Linked DNA regions of Schizosaccharomyces pombe. The gene in region 3 interacts genetically with the main gene of each other region. Each region holds a gene or a part of one and is shown on either strand. Other genes may lie near its edges. The genes, in order: end4, gga21, cfr1 and apm1.

Region 1 (6,208 bases), 140 kb from region 3:
GATACTATTGTGGAAACAGGACGTGAGATACTTAGCTATTCACTAGAATACATAAATACTTTAGATTTTTGTCATGCAAAGGTCGTTTATGGTGATACCGATAGCTTATTTGTTGAATTACCTGGAGCGACTAAAGAGCAAGCTTTCGACATCGGACAGCAGCTAGCAAACAACATTACTTCCAGATTTCCTTCTCCAATTCGACTTAAATTTGAAAAAATTTACTTTCCTTGTTTCTTGTTAGCGAAAAAAAGATATGTAGGGTTCAAATTTGAATCAGTTAGTCAAAAAGCTCCAATTTTTGAAGCGAAAGGCATTGAGACAGTTCGAAGGGATGGTACTCCTGTTCAACAGCAGCTCCTTCGTCGTTGCCTTGAAATACTTTTTAAGACAAAGGATTTGTCAACGGTCAAAAAAGAATTTCAGAACGTATGTTATCAAATTATGAGTGGAAACGTTCCTGTTATGGATTTTTGTTTTTCAAAAGAAGTTCGTCTAGAAAAATATAAAGAATTAAGTACTGCTCCTCCTGGAGCAGTTATGGCTAGACGGTTGATGACCAAAGATCCTAGGAGGGAACCTCAATATGGAGAACGTGTTCCATATTTGATTATCGCTGCTGCTCCTGGTACCACCTTGGCGAACCGCTCAGTTGCACCCGAAGAATTTCTGTCTTCGAGTTTTTCTCAACTTGATATAAATTATTATATCAACAATAGTTTGATACCTCCATTAGATCGATTTCTAAACTTGTTAGGGGCTAGTGCCCAGTCATGGTATCATGAAATGCCCAAACCACGTACCAGTTTAAAATTGACTGAAACAGTGAAAGGAGGTATTCAAAAAAAGACTTTGGACACTTTTCTGATGGAGAAGCTTTGCTCTTCTTGCTTGAAGAATAATATTGAAATTATTCCTGATAAAATTAACTCCCTCTGCAGTGATTGCTTAAAAAATCCTTGTGCTACTATTTCTAAAGCTGTTACGCAGCACAATGCTTATAACAAAAAACTTTCCTTGCTATTTGATATTTGTCGAGGCTGCAGTAAGCTTTCATCTAGTGATCCAGTTCTTTGCAAGTCAAATAGCTGTAAGGTGTACTATGATAGGGCGAAAACTGAGAATTATGCGAAAGTACAGGCAGAAATGTTAACGAAGACTCTTGGTTCTTTAGACTGGTAAATCATTATAACTTCAAATATTGGTGTGAAGGACTTGAAATTAAAATACATCAGGCATTTGTTCTCTTATCACCTGCTAGTTTATTCATCTACGTATTATTTATTACAATTATTTATTTTTTTTAGAAGGTTATATCGATAACTAAAAATATTAATATCATCATGTTATTGGATTTTTTTTTTTTAGTTAAAATTTAGTAAACCTCTTCGTATTCTAGGGTGCGTAGCAATTCTTTATTTACTTTTTACTGTCCGCAATACTACGCTGTGATACTTTACGTCGCGTGTCACTATATGTCAAGTGCACTGTTTTGATTTATCAACTTGACATGATAAGTTATCAAGGTACGGTTACTAATTATGATAAAGTAACTATCACTTACTACATTCAAATTCTTAACACTATATATTGAGATAAACTGAAGTGAGGACGGGAATCGGTTTTTAGCTACGTTAGTGATAAGTAACAGATAATGTGTATTAGAATACTTACATCAATTGCTACTTATATTACCTCGTATTGCAATATAACAATCACAAGGAAGATTCAATACTGTTTTTAAGTATCGTTAAAATAGATACCGAAATACGTAGCTGATATTTGCGAGACAAATTACTTCGTAATTATCAAAATTCGTACGGGACACGGATGTCGTAGTTTTGAAACAGAACCAATTTCTATAGTAAGAACGGACAGAAGACAATCTTGTACATAGCACTACGATATTTGTATTTTACCAGAAATTGTTAGGATTTGAATTGGCAAATTTTTAATTACCAAAAGTGAGAAATCGAAAAGTACACGATGAGTTCGTTTCGACTGCAATCCGATCACATGCAGTCAGACGCATCGTTGATGACAAGCGTGCGGAAGGCTACTAGCATCGATGAAACAGCCCCAAAGCGAAAGCACGTTCGTAGCTGCATCATTTTCACTTGGGATCATCATACAGCCAGGCCTTTTTGGACTGCTATAAAAGTTCAGCCATTGCTTGCAAACGAAGTTCAAACTTTCAAGGCGTTAATTACCATACATCGTGTCTTGCAAGAAGGTCATAAGTCTGCACTTGTTGATTCTCAAAGTGAGAAAGGCTGGCTTAAAACTTGTGAACGACAGTATGATGGTGAAAGTAGTCCAAAGGGCTATAGCGATTTAATTCGTGATTATGTGGATTATTTACTTGATAAGCTTTCTTTTCATGCTCAACATCCGGAATTTAATGGTACTTTTGAGTATAAAGAATACATTAGTCTTAGGCAAGTCGATGACCCTAATGAAGGTTATGAAACTGTATACGACATGATGAATCTTCAGGATCATATTGATGAATTTCAAAAACAGCTTTTTTCTAACTTCAAGCGTTCAAATAAAAATGAATGTAGAATTGCAGCCCTTGTGCCTCTAGTTCAGGAGTCATATGGTATTTATCGATTTTTAACTAGTATGTTACGTGCTTTATATAGCACAGTTGATGCCCCAGAGACTTTGGAACCTTTGAAGCATAGATATAAGTCACAACACCATAGGCTTCGTCAATTTTACGCGGATTGTTCAAATCTTCGATATTTGACTAGTCTCATTTCAGTCCCTCGTCTTCCACATGATCCCCCCGATTTGGAAGGTGATGACAATATCCCTGATCTTCCTAAGAGACCTGCTTCAATTGCTCCCCAACCCACTGGCGCCTCGACCATTGCTCCTCAGCCTACTGGTACTTCTCCATCTCCGCCGGTTGAAATGAATTTTCCTGATACTAGCGACATTACTCCGGCTTATAGTGAACCTGAACCTATTCAAGATTTCTGGTCTGATCCTACTTTAGATCAACAATTGGCTGCTCAGCAAGCGGCTCAGCAAGCTGCTCAACAACAAGCAGAGTTAGCGGCTCAGCAGGCCGCAGCACAGCAGGCTCAATTAGCAGCTCAGCAAGCTGCCGAAATGGAGCGTCAACGGATGGCCGCACAGCAACATCAGCAGGCCTTGGAGGCAATTCAAATGGCACAAGCTGAACAACAGCGTATTGCGCAAGAACAACTTGCTCAGCAACAATTTCAAATGCAAACACAAGGACAGTTGGCTGAACTTGAGCAACAGCTTCTTGCTACTCGAGGACAACTTGAACAGAGCAATGTGTTACTTAATCAATATGATGCTAGAGTGAGAACTCTTGAAAATGAGCTGAGCCAGGCTGGCGTTAACTTGCAGGAGCAAATACATCAAAATGATGATCTTATTGAATCTTTAAAAAATCAGATTCTTACATGGAAAAACAAGTACGAAGCATTAGCCAAATTATATACACAACTTCGTCAGGAACACTTAGATTTACTTTCGAAATATAAACAAATTCAGCTCAAAGCAAGTTCTGCGCAAGAGGCTATTGACAAGAAAGAAAAAATGGAAAGAGAAATGAAGAATAAAAACTTGGAACTTGCTGATATGATTTTGGAAAGAGACAGGGCTCGTCACGAACTCGAGACTATGCATCGTAGTCAACGAGACAAGCAAGAAAGCACTGAGCGTGAATTACGTTTACTTCAGGAAAAGGCTGCTTCCCTTGAGCGCAATAAATCATCTGAAGTATCAAATTTGCTTAGTCGTTATAATACAGAAGTTGCTCATTTAGAAGATGCTCTTCATTCAAAGGATCGTGAGCTAGCCAACTTAGGTGTTGAATTGAAGTCTACTGAAAATCGGTACCGCCAACTTTTGCAGGAAAAGGAAGAAGAGCTGGAGATTCAAAAAGCAGCTGTCGACGAGTCTCTGTTACAGCTTAGCAAATTACAATTGGATCGTAATGACATTGATCAAGCGATGGATACTCAAATTGACGAGCTTTTGAAATCGCAGCTGGAGAAGCTTGATGACATAGTGGATTCTGTTTTGGCTACTGGTATCCAACGTTTAGACACTAGTTTGTATGAACTGGATTCACCGATGCATGCCGGTAATCAATATGCTACTCCTGAATTTATTCTATCTACTATTGAAAATGCTAGTAACAATGCTACTGATTTTTCGACAGCATTCAATAACTATTTTGCTGATGGGCCTAACGCTGACCATTCTGAGGTCATCAATGGAGTCAATCTTTTCTCCACGGCCATATACGAAGTTGCCAATAATGCTAAAGGTTTAAGTAGAACAACTGGTGACGACCAAGGATCGGATCGGTTTGTTGGCTTATCTCGGGATTTGGTAAATATGGCCAAACGGTTCCTTTCCAGTTTATTTTCCGTCAACACAAGAAAAATGGATGTAAATGTTAAAACAGATCTTGTAATTGGTGAAAATATAGAGTTACAACGCTATTTACAACAACTTACACAGTACTCTGAAAAATTCCTGAACAAAGAATCGGAAAACACTGTGGGATTACTCAATGCTCCCGGTGAAAACATTGAAGAACTTGTCGATAATCAACTGGCGGAAACAGCACAGGCTATTCAACAGGCTATTTTAAGATTACAAAATATCGCAGCAAAACCCAAAGACGATAGTTTGTCCCCTTCAGAACTGCAAGTTCACGATTCTTTGTTAAGCGCATCAATTGCCATTACCGAGGCTATTGCCAGATTAATTAAAGCAGCAACTGCTTCACAGGCAGAGATTGTTGCTCAAGGAAGAGGTTCCAGTTCACGTGGTGCATTTTATAAAAAACATAACCGCTGGACGGAAGGCCTTATATCAGCTGCGAAAGCCGTTGCGCGTGCTACAACTACTTTAATCGAAACTGCTGATGGAGTCGTAAACGGTACATCTAGTTTTGAGCATTTGATTGTCGCATGTAATGGTGTTAGCGCCGCAACTGCACAATTGGTTGCAGCCTCTCGTGTAAAAGCAAATTTCGCCTCTAAGGTTCAAGATCATCTTGAGGATGCTGCGAAAGCTGTTACGGAGGCCTGTAAGGCATTGGTTCGTCAAGTGGAGTCTGTTGCTCTCAAAGCTAAAGAGGTGCAGCATGAAGACTTCTCTTCATTGGGTGTTCATGAATATCGTCGTAAAGAAATTGAGCAACAGGTGCAAATTTTGAAGTTGGAAAATGATTTAGTCGCTGCCCGACGTCGTCTTTTTGATATGAGAAAAACATCTTATCATGTTGCCGAAGAGTAATTAAGTCTTTTCGATCCTTTTTATTTTTATGAATTAATTTTGGAAAGCCTTAAATACTCAGCTATTAGTGCTTCTATTTTTGCTAGGTCGATACGGGATGATAAATACATTGCGTTCTTTTCCGACCAATAGGCAGTATTAGTATATTTAAATTTTAAATGTAAATAAATACCATTACATATTGTGACACTTGTAGATCCTACTGATATACTAATGATCAAAGCAGAATGGCTAACCTACCGCACTATATCTCTTAAAGTAAAACAAACATAATCCAGATTTATTTTTCTACAACTTTTTCTTTTTCCTCCTCTCGGTTTTTTTCTCTTTCTTTTGCTCCTTCTTTTGTTCTTTCTTTTCTCGTTGTTCTTTTAAGCGCTGTTTTCTTTCAGCCAGTAGAGCCTCATCTTCAGGATTTGCGCAAGCAACTTCGAATAGTTTCCATGAAAGAATTAAACCTAGACCAGTCGCGCCAAAAACATAAAGATCTAAAGTAATCAATGTGGTCTGAACAAGTATGAATGTGATTATCATCTTAATGATGATCTCACGGCCTGACACATTGCTACGAACTTCTTTACGAATACCCAAAGGAAACCATCGAATTTTACCAGGGGGTCCAAATGAAATATGATAATTCCGTTTCGTGGGATTGTTAGAAGGACCCTTGGGCTTATAAATGTGAATTAAATTGATAAATGCTCCAATAAGGAAAATAGCTAGTCCAATTTTGTTATTCTTCGGATTCGAGAAAGTCTTTGTCAATTGATACGGAGATTCTTCTTCACTCATTGTAATTTATTTTCTATTATAGGAGATATAAAAGAAGAACCGTTCGTTCCAAATTAATTTGATCAAAGTATGGTGAATGAAACCGTCGGGGTGGAGGTTAGGAAAAATGTGGTACTACAGA
Region 2 (4,752 bases), 2.6 Mb from region 3:
GACTTCATCTTCATCCACATCGTTGGCTTGCAGATTAGTTAGAGTCTCTTCATTATCATCTGTTGGAATAGAGTGTTCGTCATGAGCCAATGAAGCTTCGGACGGTTCGTGTAATGGTGACCGAGATTCTTCAGAGTTTGAATGTGTTGAACTGGTGTTTAATGTTGGTTTGTGATTTAAATTTCCAGCTGACCAAATGTCGTCAGTAGTTTGATTTCTTTGTTCTTGGTAAGAAGCTTCCATTTCCTCCAAGTATTTTTTTTCTTTTTCTTGAATATCTTGAGCATCATGACATTGAGCATAAATATCGAGAAGTTCTTCGTTTACCTCAAAAAAAGAATGTCCCCATTTGAAATTATCCATTAAAAGTCTCGCCTCATTAGGATATCCGACAATATACATGCAAGCTGCCAGAGCTTCAGCACAATTTAATCGCCAAGGCCTACCATAGTTAACTGGATTGGAGGCCACTAAATATGGAAGCAACCGCTCACAGCGACCACCAATTCTAGAAAAAGGGATTTCCTCTATGCGAGCCCAAGAGCATTCAACTACACTAGCACCTCCATTATCAAAGTACTCCTTATCGGCTGGAGAAACAGGAACTTTTCCGTTTGGTCTGCAGCGTTAAAATCTGATACATAGCAAAATGGTAAAAAAATATTAATAATTAGTCTTAGTGCCCTTGCGCTGTATACAGCAAACATTCGACAAGAGTTTAAGATCGGGTTTCTTTCTAACGGTTCTCAACTTACGTTATTACAACTCCTCGAAACTTCTGTCCAATTCTAAGGTTTCGTACGCATCCTAGACGCTCTAATCGTTTACCAGAACAGGCATTTGGATTACAATGTCCAAAATCCCACATTGCTAAGGGTAATGGAAATTTGGATGCCTTGTTTGAACCCTTGAAGCCATCTTTGGCATTAGAACGACGATTAGAACTCCTTGGGCCCATATCCAAATATCGATGTTGAAAAGTGACACGCTGTTTGATGTAGGAAATCCGCCATATTTGGTGTGGGTGTTGTTATCAATCAATAATGCACTGTACCAATGCCGTGTTAAAAGTAATCATCTTCAGTAGCAATCGAGTATTAAGATGAGAGGAAATCTTTATCTATATACAATTCGACTACTTAATCAATTGACCGTCCCTCCTTCTTTTCAGAAAAATATTTCCTTACATTCATTAAAGATATGCTATTGAAAAGTGGATATTGCCCAAAAGTGGTTAATGTTCTCACTCTTGAGCGAGACAATGCAATGACATTAGTTTTTTGCATTTCTTGGCAAATCCAGGAAAAAGCCTCGCGGTAATATAAGAATGGTCAATTCTCGTAAAATGACCTTGTATGGCTGTTAATACTTTCATAGTTGTTCAAATAGAACTGTTACACAAAACTCGTTTACACACAATGTATTTTCCTCATGCTTTTTCAACGATATACAATTGTACAATTGTTCTCCTCGATCCATTTTAAAAATTTTGATACAAAATGAATAGTGAAAGTAATAGCAGAGCTACGTTTTCTTGTCAGTGTTTAATTATGGAACGTAACAACAGTGTTAGTTTCATTCTTCTTACACTTATCAGTTTCTGTGCTCGATAGTAAATTGTTTCATTCATGTAAAAATAATTAAATTCAATTGGATTTTAATTTTCAATTCGACACTAGCTACAGCAATAAACTGCGGATCAAAAATATGGCATGTAGCATATATTTGAAGAATTTTAGCAAGTTTTGGGAACTTGTTCTTTACATAAAGCTTTTCAGCTGAACCAGATATAACCGGGTTCTTATGGTGGTTTTAATCTTTACTCTACTATCGCATACCTTATTTGACTTAGAACTCGTTTGGTCTCTTGTTGGTAAACCAAGCCTCCCAACTTCCTTGACTGAAGAGTATACCTCAGACTTTTGCACAATTTTGTTTTTGGATTTTTTCTTTTTGTTTTAATTTTATTGGCTCTTCAAATCTGCGAATCTGCCTTCTGTTTTGTTTTTAGATCTAGAAAAATTTACTACTTATCACCATGCGCTCTAGCCAGACTTTATCAAAGTATATTGGTGAGTATTCTTTTGTGACGCTATATTTTACTGTTAAGATGGGAATATGAATCGCTGACAAGTAATTAGACAAAGCTACCGATCAATTCAATTTGGAGCCAAATTTGGCCTTGAATATAGAGATAGCGGACCTTATAAATGAAAAGAAAGGAAATACGTACGTGAATTAAGGATTTAATTCCTACAATTGCTTTGTTGCTGACTTTTCGCAGCCCACGTGAAGCAGCTTTATTGATTTTAAAGCGTGTCAACAGTGCAAATCCCACAGTTTCATATCTGGCTTTACATGTAAGTATATTCCTCTAGCCTTTGAGGAGAATGGTTGGTACCCATCAGTTTACGAATCTCTCCTTTATGTGCATGGTCAAGCGTTTATTGTTCACCATGGCGAGTCCAGAGTACTTTACGCTTTCTTGTGAGATATTTGGTTAACATAAGTGCTTTAGTTGCTCGATATTTGTGTAAAGAACTGCGGTTATCCATTTCACTTTCAGATCGCATCAGAAGAGTTTTTAAATGGATTCGTTTCACGATTCCCAAACCATCCCATCTCCCGAATGAATAAAATTCAATCTAAAATGCTAGAAATGCTAGAAGAGTGGAATTACATGCTTTGTAAAAACAATCGCCATCGTGAAGATTTTTCTCGCATTCACGACATTCGGGAGCTTATGGCTTTTCGTGGTTACAAGTTTCCTGCGGTAGACGAAGATTCCATTGCTGTCATGAAGCCTAATAATAGTCTTCGTTCTGCACAAGAATTAGCACGTGAAGATTTAGAAGCTCACAAAGCTAAATTGCAAGAATTGCTTCGACGAGGGACCCCCATGGATTTGGCTGAAGCCAATGCTCTTATGAAAGTAATAGCTGGCTATGATGAAGAGAATACTGAAGATTACTCTGCCTTGGCTGCTGCCGACCTTGAATCGATTAGATCAAAAGCACTTCGGGTAAAGCAATTTTTGGTTAATCAAACTGTATCTTTAGAAGAAGGCACGTTGGCGGATGCCGTTGAATCTTTAAAGGTTTACCAAACGAAAATAGCAAGAATTCTTCGAGAGGAAAATGAAGATGAATACTATGTGCAGAAACTTCTTTCGCTGAATGACCTACTTATTAACGTCATTGAAGAATGTTCCAACTCAGACTTAATACATTCCGGTACAAATGTAGTTTCCTCCCAACCGAATGTGGTTGAATCTCACGTACCTCCTTCTTCTAATGACACGAAACAAGAATCTTCGTTAATTGATTTGATGAAGCTTACTGAGGAACCTGCAGTCCCGTCCCCATCACTTCCAACCAATGTACCAGCCAACCAATCTCTGTCAATGTTATCATCCCTTTCTAACTCTATGTCGTCTACGTCGAATGGAGCTTTGAATTCACCTTCTTATAGTCAAGCAGCAATCCCCAACACTAATTCATCTTTGACATCTATTCTTCAATCTGATTCATTAATGATTTCTACTCAATTAACTTCGGTTCAAAAAAGCTCTGGCTTTGCTTCATACTCCGTTCAGTTCTCTAATTGCTCCCTTACCTGGCCAGTGTCCGAAGTAGTCTTCCAGGTCGCGGTTGTGAAATCTCTCAAGTTACAGCTACTTCCTCATACTGGGGATGCAATTATTGCCCCCGGAAAACAGAATGCTGCACACGAGATTATGAATATTACCAACATACCCGCCGATGCCTCTGATTTACGAATTCGTTGGAGAGTTCAGTGGATCATCGGTACAGATCATCGTGTAGAACAAGGCGAATCGCATCTTCCGCTGTAATTCTACGTGCGTTTTCTTCCATTTGCTCAACTAGATGAAGGAATATAAAAAAAGTGAAAACGTCAGTTGATATTACAGGTTTTATTATTTAATTAATGTGAGCCTCTGCGATTTGATAAATTAAACTATAAACTACGATAAAGCGAACTTTCCTTATTTTTAGAATTCTTTCCGCAATACCGATTTTAAATTTTTATAATACAAATGCCTTAACCAAAACCATTTTATTATATCTCTCAGTCAACATTATATGCTTCATAGTAATGAAAAATAAATTTAAAATTTATTTTTTATCGAAGCAAACCTTAAAATAGCCTCAATCATGTAGTTGTTAGTAAATCATTTAAACACAAGAGAGGTTCTCGATAACCTCTTCACAAAAAGAATGTCTTTGACCTAATAATCTCAAACGTTGCAGTGATATGACACATAATATTGCAGAACGTAACAATGACTGCTTGGTATTGGTAACCGGTATACTATAAGTAATTTGGGAATCTGGGTTAAACTTGGGAGAATCTCGAACCAAAAGATTGTGATATGCTGATTTAGACAACGCTAAAGACTTTCGGAAACTAATTTCTCGATTTAGTGCAAAATACAAAGCTTCAATCGATTTCCCAAGATTTTCAACCTTCTCAGAATAATTGTCAAATGTAGCTTGTTTTTCCTTTTCTTCTGCAGCGCATTTTTCAAGATCCTCTTTAAATTTGACAATGAATTCCGCACCCGCAAGGAACTGTAATTTAGCGACTTGTTGTTTGAAACTATCCAACACTTCCATTTCGACGCGATTAGTTTTGAAGAAATACCCAAAGTAGCCCTTCGGAAGTTGTTGCGAAAGCTCAATGCCATTTAGACGTTCTTGTAAGACTATAATTTCTTTTTCAATGTCACGA
Region 3 (4,577 bases):
TTCCTATTCTTTTTTTTAATCTTTTTTGATTTCAAATTTACACTTTTAATAGGTTGTTGGCTTTAATGTCTATCCTCTTATTATTATATGTGGTGTGTTCATATTTTATGCACCTCTTCTTCTACAAACGACGCGTTTTAAAAAAAAATCCTTTCACCCATCCTAAATGATACTGATTTAAACAAAATGCATTTATTAACTACGACGCTTATTTCTTTTGAACAAAACAAAGTAGAATATTTAACCCAAATCGCGATTTATACTCAAACACCTGTATGCACTGATTCAAACTGTGAGCATGCTAGATTTTTAAAACACAGCCTTATTCAAGTTTCAATTGAAAGGATAGAATATTTATACTCGATATTTCCGAATATATGGCAATTCGCTTTGCTTTGCCAAGGTCAAAATAAAGAATCATTGATACATATGGAAGAAGACGCCAGCACGAATTTCAAACTACGATATTGTAAGTTCTGTCTATCAGTATAATGAAACATAATTTCAAAACCTCCCATTACCCATTTTTGACCTAGTTGATTTAATTTAAAAAAAAAAATTTATTAGAGAACGAAAAAAAAATCCGAAGCTATATATTTACTAATGCTAAATGAGTTTAGATGTACTTCCATGGTCTAGAAGACTGCAAGGATACCAGAGCATTACAGTTCAAAATGGTTCCCATGTGCCTTTAGTCAAACGATTGGAAAAGTGGAGGATATTCGTAGAATGTTAACATATAAACATAAGAAAAAAAAAAGACTGCAGAATACAAGAGATCAATGTCATTAATCAATGTTTACACTTTCAAACTCGTCAGAAGATTGTATAATTTCTGCTTCTTTGTTGGGTATTAGATTGTCATCAGCCGTAGGTTCCGAACTTTGCTTAACTGTAGTAATATTTAGATCTTCTTCTTTATCGAGCGCATTCAGTTGCAAGTTAGTAGTATGCGCTTTTTCTGGCTCTAAGACTTCAGAAACTTGAGGGATTTCCTCAATTGCACCGTTAGTACCAATATCTTCAGCTGCTGCGGGAGATGGCTTATCATCGTCTGAATTTTCCTTAGTATCTAAAGGGGCTTCGATTATTTTCTCATCTGTCAAGCCATTCGCATTTTCAGAATTAGCATTGTTTTTTTCAACCTCTTCGTTAGTTGCAGGTCCTTCTTGATTCAATAAAGATTTAACAGCGTTCTCTTCAATTATTTCGTTAGGTTCAGCTTCTTCCTCATTCGCTGAGGATTCAACAGTACTCTTTGTAACTGCTTCACCGGAGGTAGTTTCTTCTTGATTGATTAAAGATTCAGCGGCTGTATTATTTTCTTCTTTTTCATCTTCAAGTCCTTCAGTCTCCGGGGTATTGTTTTCTTCGTTCACGTTAATCTGCTCAACGGCTGGCAAAGAAGATGGTTTTTCTTGATGATTGTTAGCTTCAACTTCGGAAGTTTGCTGGGCAGCAGGTGTACTTTCCAGATTCGAATGTTCCTCAGCATCCTTTATTTGCATATCCTCTTCGGGATTTTCCTGCTTTGTAGAATTTTCTGGCTGATCCGCTTTGATGTTTTCCGAAGAAGTTGGAGCTTCATTGGGCTTACTAGAATCACTTCGTAAACCAATGTCGCTGGAAACATCGATTGATTGCTCAGCCTCAGTTTCAGGCGCTTCAGCCGGAACAGAAGCTGAACTAGATGGCTCAGCATTTGCACTATTTTGAGTTCCCTGTTGGGTTGTTTGCTGTGGAGCTTTAGCTGATGCAGCACCTTGAGCAACTTCAGCGGTATTCTTCGGTTGTTCGGTTGTAGCATTGAGATTTGGTGCAGCATTTTGCGCAGCTTCTACAGAATTAATAGAAGCGTTAGCATTGTAAGAAGCGCGATTTTCGATGTAAAAACCACTAACGTTCACCAAACGTCCTTCAGATTCGCATTTCAACAAATAATCCAAACCTAAAATAGGGATATTGGCAGCTTTTGCCTTTTCGTACTCAGGACCCCCAGTAGAAGAGCAGATAAAATGAGTTGTATCGATACGAACGCTAGTTTGAATTGGTCTAGCGTGAATGCGTTCAATACACTTTTGTAAAGCCTCCATCTCATTGGGAACCATGTTGCCAACACACACTTGAATTCCTGTGAGATCTATCATTCTTAACGTTTTGATGGTAATGTGTTTGCTGGGAAATGTTCCCGCAGTCGTATCCAAAACAAGGGAAAAATCGTATTCTGTATCGAGAGATAAGCCACTCAGCTTGGCATTGTGAGTAGTCATGGGATTAGATATGTTAAGCACTCGAACATTATTACGGTACAAGCAAAGGCTTTTGAGTCTCGCAGTGGAGAGTTGTAAAGGATCCCATTCCAATACAATGCTAGTCTGAGTAGCATTCTTTAACTTAAGAACAGGAGGAGACGGCAATTTTTGGCCATATGTTTCAAAAATTTCTTTTTGAACATCATCGAATGCAGTTTCTCTTGCTATCTCTTCCTCTTTATTGTGATGCACAGAGATATCGATTATAGAGCCTGCAGTCGCGTCATTCGGCAGCAACACGGATGGAAATTCTATAATATGAAATGAAGGTGTCAATAAGATGGCCATTCCCGCATCTATTTTGGCCACAGACACCATAAATTGATTTGTATCATCCATTTTAGATGCTATTATTGATAATCCCCTTTGGTTGTGGTGGAGTGTTTACCTTAACCAGCACTCTTACACTTCTAACTATAGGTAGCACTTGTTACCTAAGGAACCGTAGTAAAAATGTAGGTTATAATCATCTTTGTTTTGATAAATATCAAGAGTTGTTGTGATTCCCTGGTTTTTCACAATCTATTTACATATCAAACTTATATATTTTTTAAATTTTCTGGTTAGTATCATTATAAGCGTAATTCTAGTAAGGAAGACAATTACAATTTATTAAAATTATATACAAATATTTGAAGATATATTTAATTCAATCACTCAGTAAAAGTGAACGATTTAATATATGTAGTTTATTATTATATTTCAACGAGAATTCATACAAACAATATTACAAAAAAATCTGTTGATTTTTTCAATCATCTAAATTATTAAAATATTGGGCTATTATTATCTATTCTTCAGACTAAAGCATTTTAAGGGGAGCAAATATACTACTTTCTGATACAATTAAATTCTAAATTACGTTAAGTTACATTGATAGTAAACAAAAACAAATGCAGTACTGTTGAACCCAGTTGATGAATATATCTTAATTCGTAAACCGTGCTGCATTCAAAATTTAAAATACTACACGAATGAAGGATTAGACCACAATATCTGTTGAGCAAAATAGAAGTCGAAAAATAATACAATTGTTAATCTGGATATAAAACCACGTGTGAGCAAACTTAAAAAATATTTCCTAATTATCAGGTTTACACATTTCACTCTATAAAATTAATTAAGAATAGTGGTTTTTTAATACACCTATCAGTGCAATAATCAGTATAAAAAGAAGCTAGCTTCTAAAGGAAAAATATGAAAATAAGATAACAAATTTGCTCCCGTACTAAGTACTTTTGAAGAATTAGAAAAAAGCCGTAGACAAATGGAATATCGAGGCTAATCTGTATACATTAAAACATTATCCATCTTTATGCTATAGGGTTATCCATATAAAGAGCGGAATAGAAAAGAAATACCGAGAAGGAAACAAAAATTCTATTTACCATCTTAAGTACGGAAAGTAATGATAATTTTGTATCCATAAAGATTTCCTTTGTCAAGCAAGCAAGGCCCATGATATGTATGGTGAGGTGTAGAAAGAAGAAAAGAGGAAAAAGCAATACAGGCCAAAACCAAATTGCTCAACAAAAAACCAACCTGGTATTCACTATCATTGACCCGTCAGTCATCAAGTATGTATATGCAAGAAAAATAAAAACGAATAAAGGATCTTGAGAAAAAATGCGTTATCTCTTTGCAAAAAAAGTGGCCCTGTCTACATCAGAAGCTTTTTTCTTAAAATTCGATTTATAGGTTGTTGTGTCAGGCAAGAGAGAAAGAAAGAGAGAAGGAAGAAAAAAACCAGAGACAAAAATACGCTTGAAAAAAAAGTATTCAAACAGCAAATATTTTGACTCGGCATGCGACTAAGCTACATGATACATCTTCTTACTTGCCATGAAATTTTGTTGCGATAGGAACAATAATGACAACAAGTAAAATGATGATACCAATGATAATGCAAAGACGCATACGCATGTCCTTCCACCACATCTTCTTGCGAACACGATTGGCGCCACGACGGAAGCCTTGCGCGCTAACAGCAAGGTTATCTTAAAGAAGTTAGCTAAACGTTCAAAAAAAAAATTTAACTGTTAACAAAAATAAATATCATACCTGTTTTATCTTGTAAAGAATCAAGGCGTTCTCCACGTTCTGAAACCTTAGAAATGTTTTCACGCATAATCCCCACAGTATCGTCAATCTGCTGCTGAATTGCAGCTGTCTTCATATTCGGCGTCGACGAAGCAGCAGCATTTCCACTACGAACAGCTGCAGAAGGCTCCGCCGGGATATATGGGTCATATGGCTCAGACATGG
Region 4 (4,397 bases), on a different chromosome or scaffold from region 3:
GCGATTGGTAGACTATTTTTTCGGGTTTATTTCCCATTATATTTCAGACACTCTTTTTGACCTGCGAAACTTTTTGTCCTCATTTTGTATCAATTGACTTCAATAATGGAGTTAGAAAAACGGATTTATGTTGGTGGCCTTTCATCCTCTATTGAATCTTCAGATTTGGAATCCAGATTTTCTCGTTTTGGAAGTGTTTCAAATCTTGAAATTATAAACAAATCTACTCCAGTAGGAACTATACAACGATTTGCATACTTGAATTTTCGAACAGATGAAGATAAATGGCAGAAATGCAAGTCTTACTTATCAAATGCGACGTTTAAAGGAAGTAAACTTCGTATAGAGGAAGCTCGCCCTTATTATTTAGTAAAATTGCAGCAGGAAAAAAAAATTGCTGATCTTCAAAGTACTAATAATGATGAGAAAAATGAAGATCACTCCAGCAAAGTTGATCTGGAAGACCCAGTCTTTCATGGAGAAATAATTGTTCCCGGAAAACATAGTAAAAATATGCAGGTGGTCACGGATTCTGATGTTCGGAAGGATCCTCCTAGAAAAGGTTGGAAAAAAGGCCCCTATGGAAGGGCCATTGTCGTGCTTCGAATGTATAATAAAAATACTAAGAAAACGAGGTTTTTTTATCCGCTGGGTAAAAACTGCTTACAAAAACTATGGGGCCGAGTGGAAACGAATATGGACAATACTACAGCTTTTTATGATTCTGATCATGATGAGTATGTATCATATGGGGGTAAGAGAGCTTCTCGTGACAAAATACGTATGCAAGCAAAATTGGGTATCAAAGCTTCTACTCAGAAGGATGATAACGATTTTGAACTTCTTAATAACACAACTGGGGAGATTGAAGTCACAAAAGAATTAAACGAAGAGCAATTGGATGCTTTGCGAAAAAAAGATAAGGATACGGCTGCATCTGTGTTAGCTGAACTGTTTGGTTCTGAAAATACAGAAGAAATTGATACCGTATCTAAAACTTCAGGTGTTTTGGAACTGGACAATGATTCGACTAATAATTTCCAAAAAGAAGGTTTGGATGAACAAGATAATTTACAAAAGGAAGAGTCCGTACACATAGATGTTCCTGCTGAATTTGAAGCATTTGATGAGCGTACTGCTGTTGTTAACGTTGACAATTTAAAAGAAATGTTTTCTTCCAATGCGCAGGATACGTCTAAGTTTTCTCTTTTTGGCAATGAAAATGGAGTTGGTGAGGAAAGTGAAATGGAAAGTGAGATTGATGACCGTAATTACGAAACTATGGAAGAAGAGGCAGATGGGGAAACTCCGCTAGCTATAGTTAAAGCCTCATCGGGTACCAAGGGTTGGCCAAAAATGTTTACTCTACCCAATCCTTCTTCCCTATTCCAACCAGGTAATGAAGATTATACGAGCAGAGAAGCTCTTGAATCCTGGTGGTCGGAAAATCGTCTATTCTTAACTCGTGATTACAAACGAAAAAGAAAAGATGCCGTAAAAAGACAGCGAAGGGCTCATGAAAAGCGTATTCGACTTGTTTAAAGACGCGTATAGGTTATGTATTTATTGGGAATTTATTTGGGTATTTTAAGGTTACGAGGTATATATTGATTTTTTACACACTTTTGGAATCTTTACGTTGTTATTTCTCTATCCTTTTTATTTTAGAAAAAAATCTGTGTCTTTTTAAAAAGCCACGATGTTCACTTTGGTTTTATCATTGGTGAAAGTTAACAACTTTTTTCGTTGCACTTTCTTGGGATTTGTGGCTTTTAATATTTACAATGTTTGAGATCAAATTTTATTAAAATATTTGTTATTCTTATTGTTATAAGCCAAAGTTGTCAAATAAAACATACCGAAATTTTCTTACATTGTCAGAAAAATTATTTTCCTTTTCGGCATTTACAAAACCATATAATGTAAATTAGTTATAATTATCTGAATAGATTATCTTATAAAAGAAGACTGAATGTGTGCATAGAGTAGTAATTACTCAATATAAGAAGAATTTCGTACTATATGTAAGAAACAGAAATAGTGAATTACGCTGTATTACACTAGCGGTGCTTAGGCACGGTGATGAGGCAGCCAACAGTCAATGCTAGTTATCCAGAGCGAAACTAGCTGCCTTATTCGCGGCTTCTGTAAAAATGGCTTCTGCTATATTCGTTCTGAATTTAAAGGGAAAGGTAATCATTTCCCGTGATTACCGGTAGGCAATTTTGAAATCTGAATGAAAATCAGATTGTCGCAATTCGTCGACAGGTTACTAACAGAAAACAATTAGAGCTGATATCCCCATGTCAGTAGTTGAAAAGTTTTTACCTTTAAAATCAGAAGTTGAAGAAGAACAAGGATTCTCCACCCCTTGTCTCACTCACGAAGGCATTAACGTATGTAAAAGTTAGATATTATGAAAGCCAACAATTCTTATTTTTTTATGGTCGTACTAACACTTTTCAGTACATTTACATTCACCATAATGATGTCTACCTCCTTGCTTTATCCAAAATGAATTCCGATGCAATGGAGATGCTAGTATTTTTGCGTAAAATGGCGGACGTTTTTATAGATTACTTTAAAGAATTGCAGGAAGAGTCGATTCGAGATAACTTTGTTCTTGTTTATGAATTGTTAGACGAGATCATGGATTTCGGTTTTCCACAAACAACTGAAACAAAAATCTTGCAAGAATACATCACTCAAACCTCAAATACGGTAAAAAAGCATGCTCCACCCCCCATTGCTATGACAAATGCTATCTCCTGGCGTTCTGAAGGAATTCACTATCGTAAGAATGAAGTATTTTTGGACGTTATTGAATCAGTTAATTTAATTGCTGCTGCCGATGGTACGGTCATTCAAAGTGAAATCTTAGGAAAAGTTCGTCTCAAATGCTACTTATCAGGAATGCCTGAACTTCGTCTTGGGCTCAATGACAAGGTCCTTTTCGAAGCGGCTGGTCGTACCATTAAAGGAAACACTGTGGAAATGGAAGATGTGAAATTTCACCAATGTGTTCGTCTTGCTCGATTTGAAAACGATCGTACAATTTCGTTCATTCCTCCTGATGGCGAATTTGATTTAATGTCCTATCGCATGAGTTCAAATGTAAGTTATTAGTTTGTGCCTGTTCTTTTTATTCCCTCTCTCCTTTATCAACGTTTTCTAATATTAATTTCTCGTTAGGTACGGCCATTAATTTGGGTTGAATGTGAATCCATCGTGCATTCAGGTTCGAGAATTGAGTTTATGGTAAAAGCTAAGGCTCAATTCAAAAAGCGTTGTATTGCAAATAATGTCCAAATCATCATTCCCGTTCCGGAAGATGCTGACAGTCCTCGGTTTCAAACTAGCAATGGTCATGTGCAATATGCACCTGAACAAGCTGCCATGGTTTGGAACATTAAGAAATTTGCAGGTGGTAAAGAATTTTTCATGCGTGCTGAAATGGGTTTACCAAGTGTTAAAAATGAAGATATTCAAGTTCAGAAAAAACGTCCTGTTCAACTAAAATTTGCTATTCCCTATTTCACTACCTCAGGGATCCAAGTTCGTTATTTAAAAATCACCGAACCAAAACTTAATTATCATGCTATGCCTTGGGTTCGATATGTTACACAAAATGGTACTGAATATTCCATCCGTCAGTAAATGTTTCTAATGATGGTTCTCCGTTCCGTTCTTTTTTCTACCTTTAGATACCTTTCCCTTCATCTATATATTTGTTTTCTTAGTGTACTGATCCCATTTATTACGAAATGAAATCTTGTTTGCAGACGCGCTAATCCTTTTTCTTACTCAGCTGACATAAAAGGAGCATTTGCTTGAAACATAAATGTCTAAGTCTATTTATTGTATAAAGGATAAGTTCAATGTTTTTATTAAAACAGAAATAAAGATTTTCTAACATACAATTCCATTTACTCAGTAGTGAATCTCCGTGTATTAAAAATACATAAAAGACAGATTGTTCCAAACGGTTTTCTAAACATAATAAATTAAAAACCAAAAGCGAGAGAATGAGAGGGAGACCGGATAGTAAGAAAAAGATTGAAGGGAAAAGTTTAAAGGTCTAAGGGTGTAATGAGTTTTCAAGTACGTATTTACTTTGGAGGTTCAATTCCGAAAAACTTAGCACGGATGGACCACATGTTTTCACGGATGCTTCGTTCCTTCTCGCCCCAATACGGTGACGGAAACTCTTCTTCAAGAACAGGTGTAGCCTGTTTACACCAGTCGTGTAGCTTGTTAATGTAGGTAGCGTCTTTTGGATAATCCAAAGAGTGATACATATTATTTGCTCCACTCAGCGAAAACATTAATTCGTCTTGCCATTTCAGCTGCTCTTCTTTGCTGGGTAATTTGAGGCGACCAGACCAAACTCGCGCGAG

What was found.
Region 1: mutations in cfr1 (region 3) and end4 impair growth when combined (synthetic growth defect), as found in Schizosaccharomyces pombe (one study listed by BioGRID).
Region 2: of cfr1 (region 3) and gga21, changing one enhances a phenotype caused by changing the other (phenotypic enhancement), as found in Schizosaccharomyces pombe (one study listed by BioGRID).
Region 4: mutations in cfr1 (region 3) and apm1 impair growth when combined (synthetic growth defect), as found in Schizosaccharomyces pombe (one study listed by BioGRID).

Annotation. Positions count from the first base shown.
Region 1 is NC_003424.3:3,133,139-3,139,346, forward strand, and holds end4 (clathrin adaptor End4), read left to right. Parts: upstream 1-1,848; 5' UTR 1,849-1,986; coding exon 1,987-5,295; 3' UTR 5,296-5,528; downstream 5,529-6,208. Other genes in the region: DNA polymerase zeta catalytic subunit Rev3, read left to right, coding at 1-1,182; SPOM_SPAC688.12C (uncharacterized protein), read right to left, coding at 5,584-6,087. UniProt on the Schizosaccharomyces pombe protein: Required for cellular morphogenesis and polarization of the cortical cytoskeleton. Required for establishment of new polarized growth zones where it acts in actin organization.
Region 2 is NC_003424.3:621,234-625,985, forward strand, and holds gga21 (adaptin family protein), read left to right. Parts: upstream 1-1,889; 5' UTR 1,890-2,038; coding exon 2,039-2,072; exon of another isoform or gene 2,073-2,141; coding exon 2,142-2,229; exon of another isoform or gene 2,230-2,284; coding exon 2,285-2,360; exon of another isoform or gene 2,361-2,518; coding exon 2,519-3,853; 3' UTR 3,854-4,174; downstream 4,175-4,752. Other genes in the region: SSU-rRNA maturation protein Tsr3, read right to left, coding at 1-619, 756-958; mitotic and meiotic spindle pole body protein, gamma tubulin complex linker-related Spo15, read right to left, coding at 4,197-4,752.
Region 3 is NC_003424.3:3,268,309-3,272,885, reverse strand, and holds cfr1 (CHS5-like protein Cfr1), read right to left. Parts: upstream 2,690-4,577; 5' UTR 2,652-2,689; coding exon 789-2,651; 3' UTR 737-788; coding exon of another isoform or gene 621-736; 3' UTR 519-620; downstream 1-518. Other genes in the region: bouquet formation protein Bqt1, read left to right, coding at 187-469, 621-736; syb1 (synaptobrevin family receptor), read right to left, coding at 4,146-4,309, 4,374-4,575. UniProt on the Schizosaccharomyces pombe protein: Required for cell fusion, independently of fus1. Appears to have a role in transporting proteins that are involved in mating. May act as a scaffold to retain cell fusion proteins in the cisternae of the Golgi.
Region 4 is NC_003423.3:1,908,027-1,912,423, forward strand, and holds apm1 (AP-1 adaptor complex mu subunit Apm1), read left to right. Parts: upstream 1-2,114; 5' UTR 2,115-2,153; coding exon 2,154-2,215; exon of another isoform or gene 2,216-2,290; coding exon 2,291-2,396; exon of another isoform or gene 2,397-2,466; coding exon 2,467-3,114; intron 3,115-3,192; coding exon 3,193-3,657; 3' UTR 3,658-3,789; downstream 3,790-4,397. Other genes in the region: ribosome biogenesis protein Nop8, read left to right, coding at 106-1,542; fmo1 (flavin dependent monooxygenase), read right to left, coding at 4,110-4,397. UniProt on the Schizosaccharomyces pombe protein: Component of the adaptor complexes which link clathrin to receptors in coated vesicles. Clathrin-associated protein complexes are believed to interact with the cytoplasmic tails of membrane proteins, leading to their selection and concentration.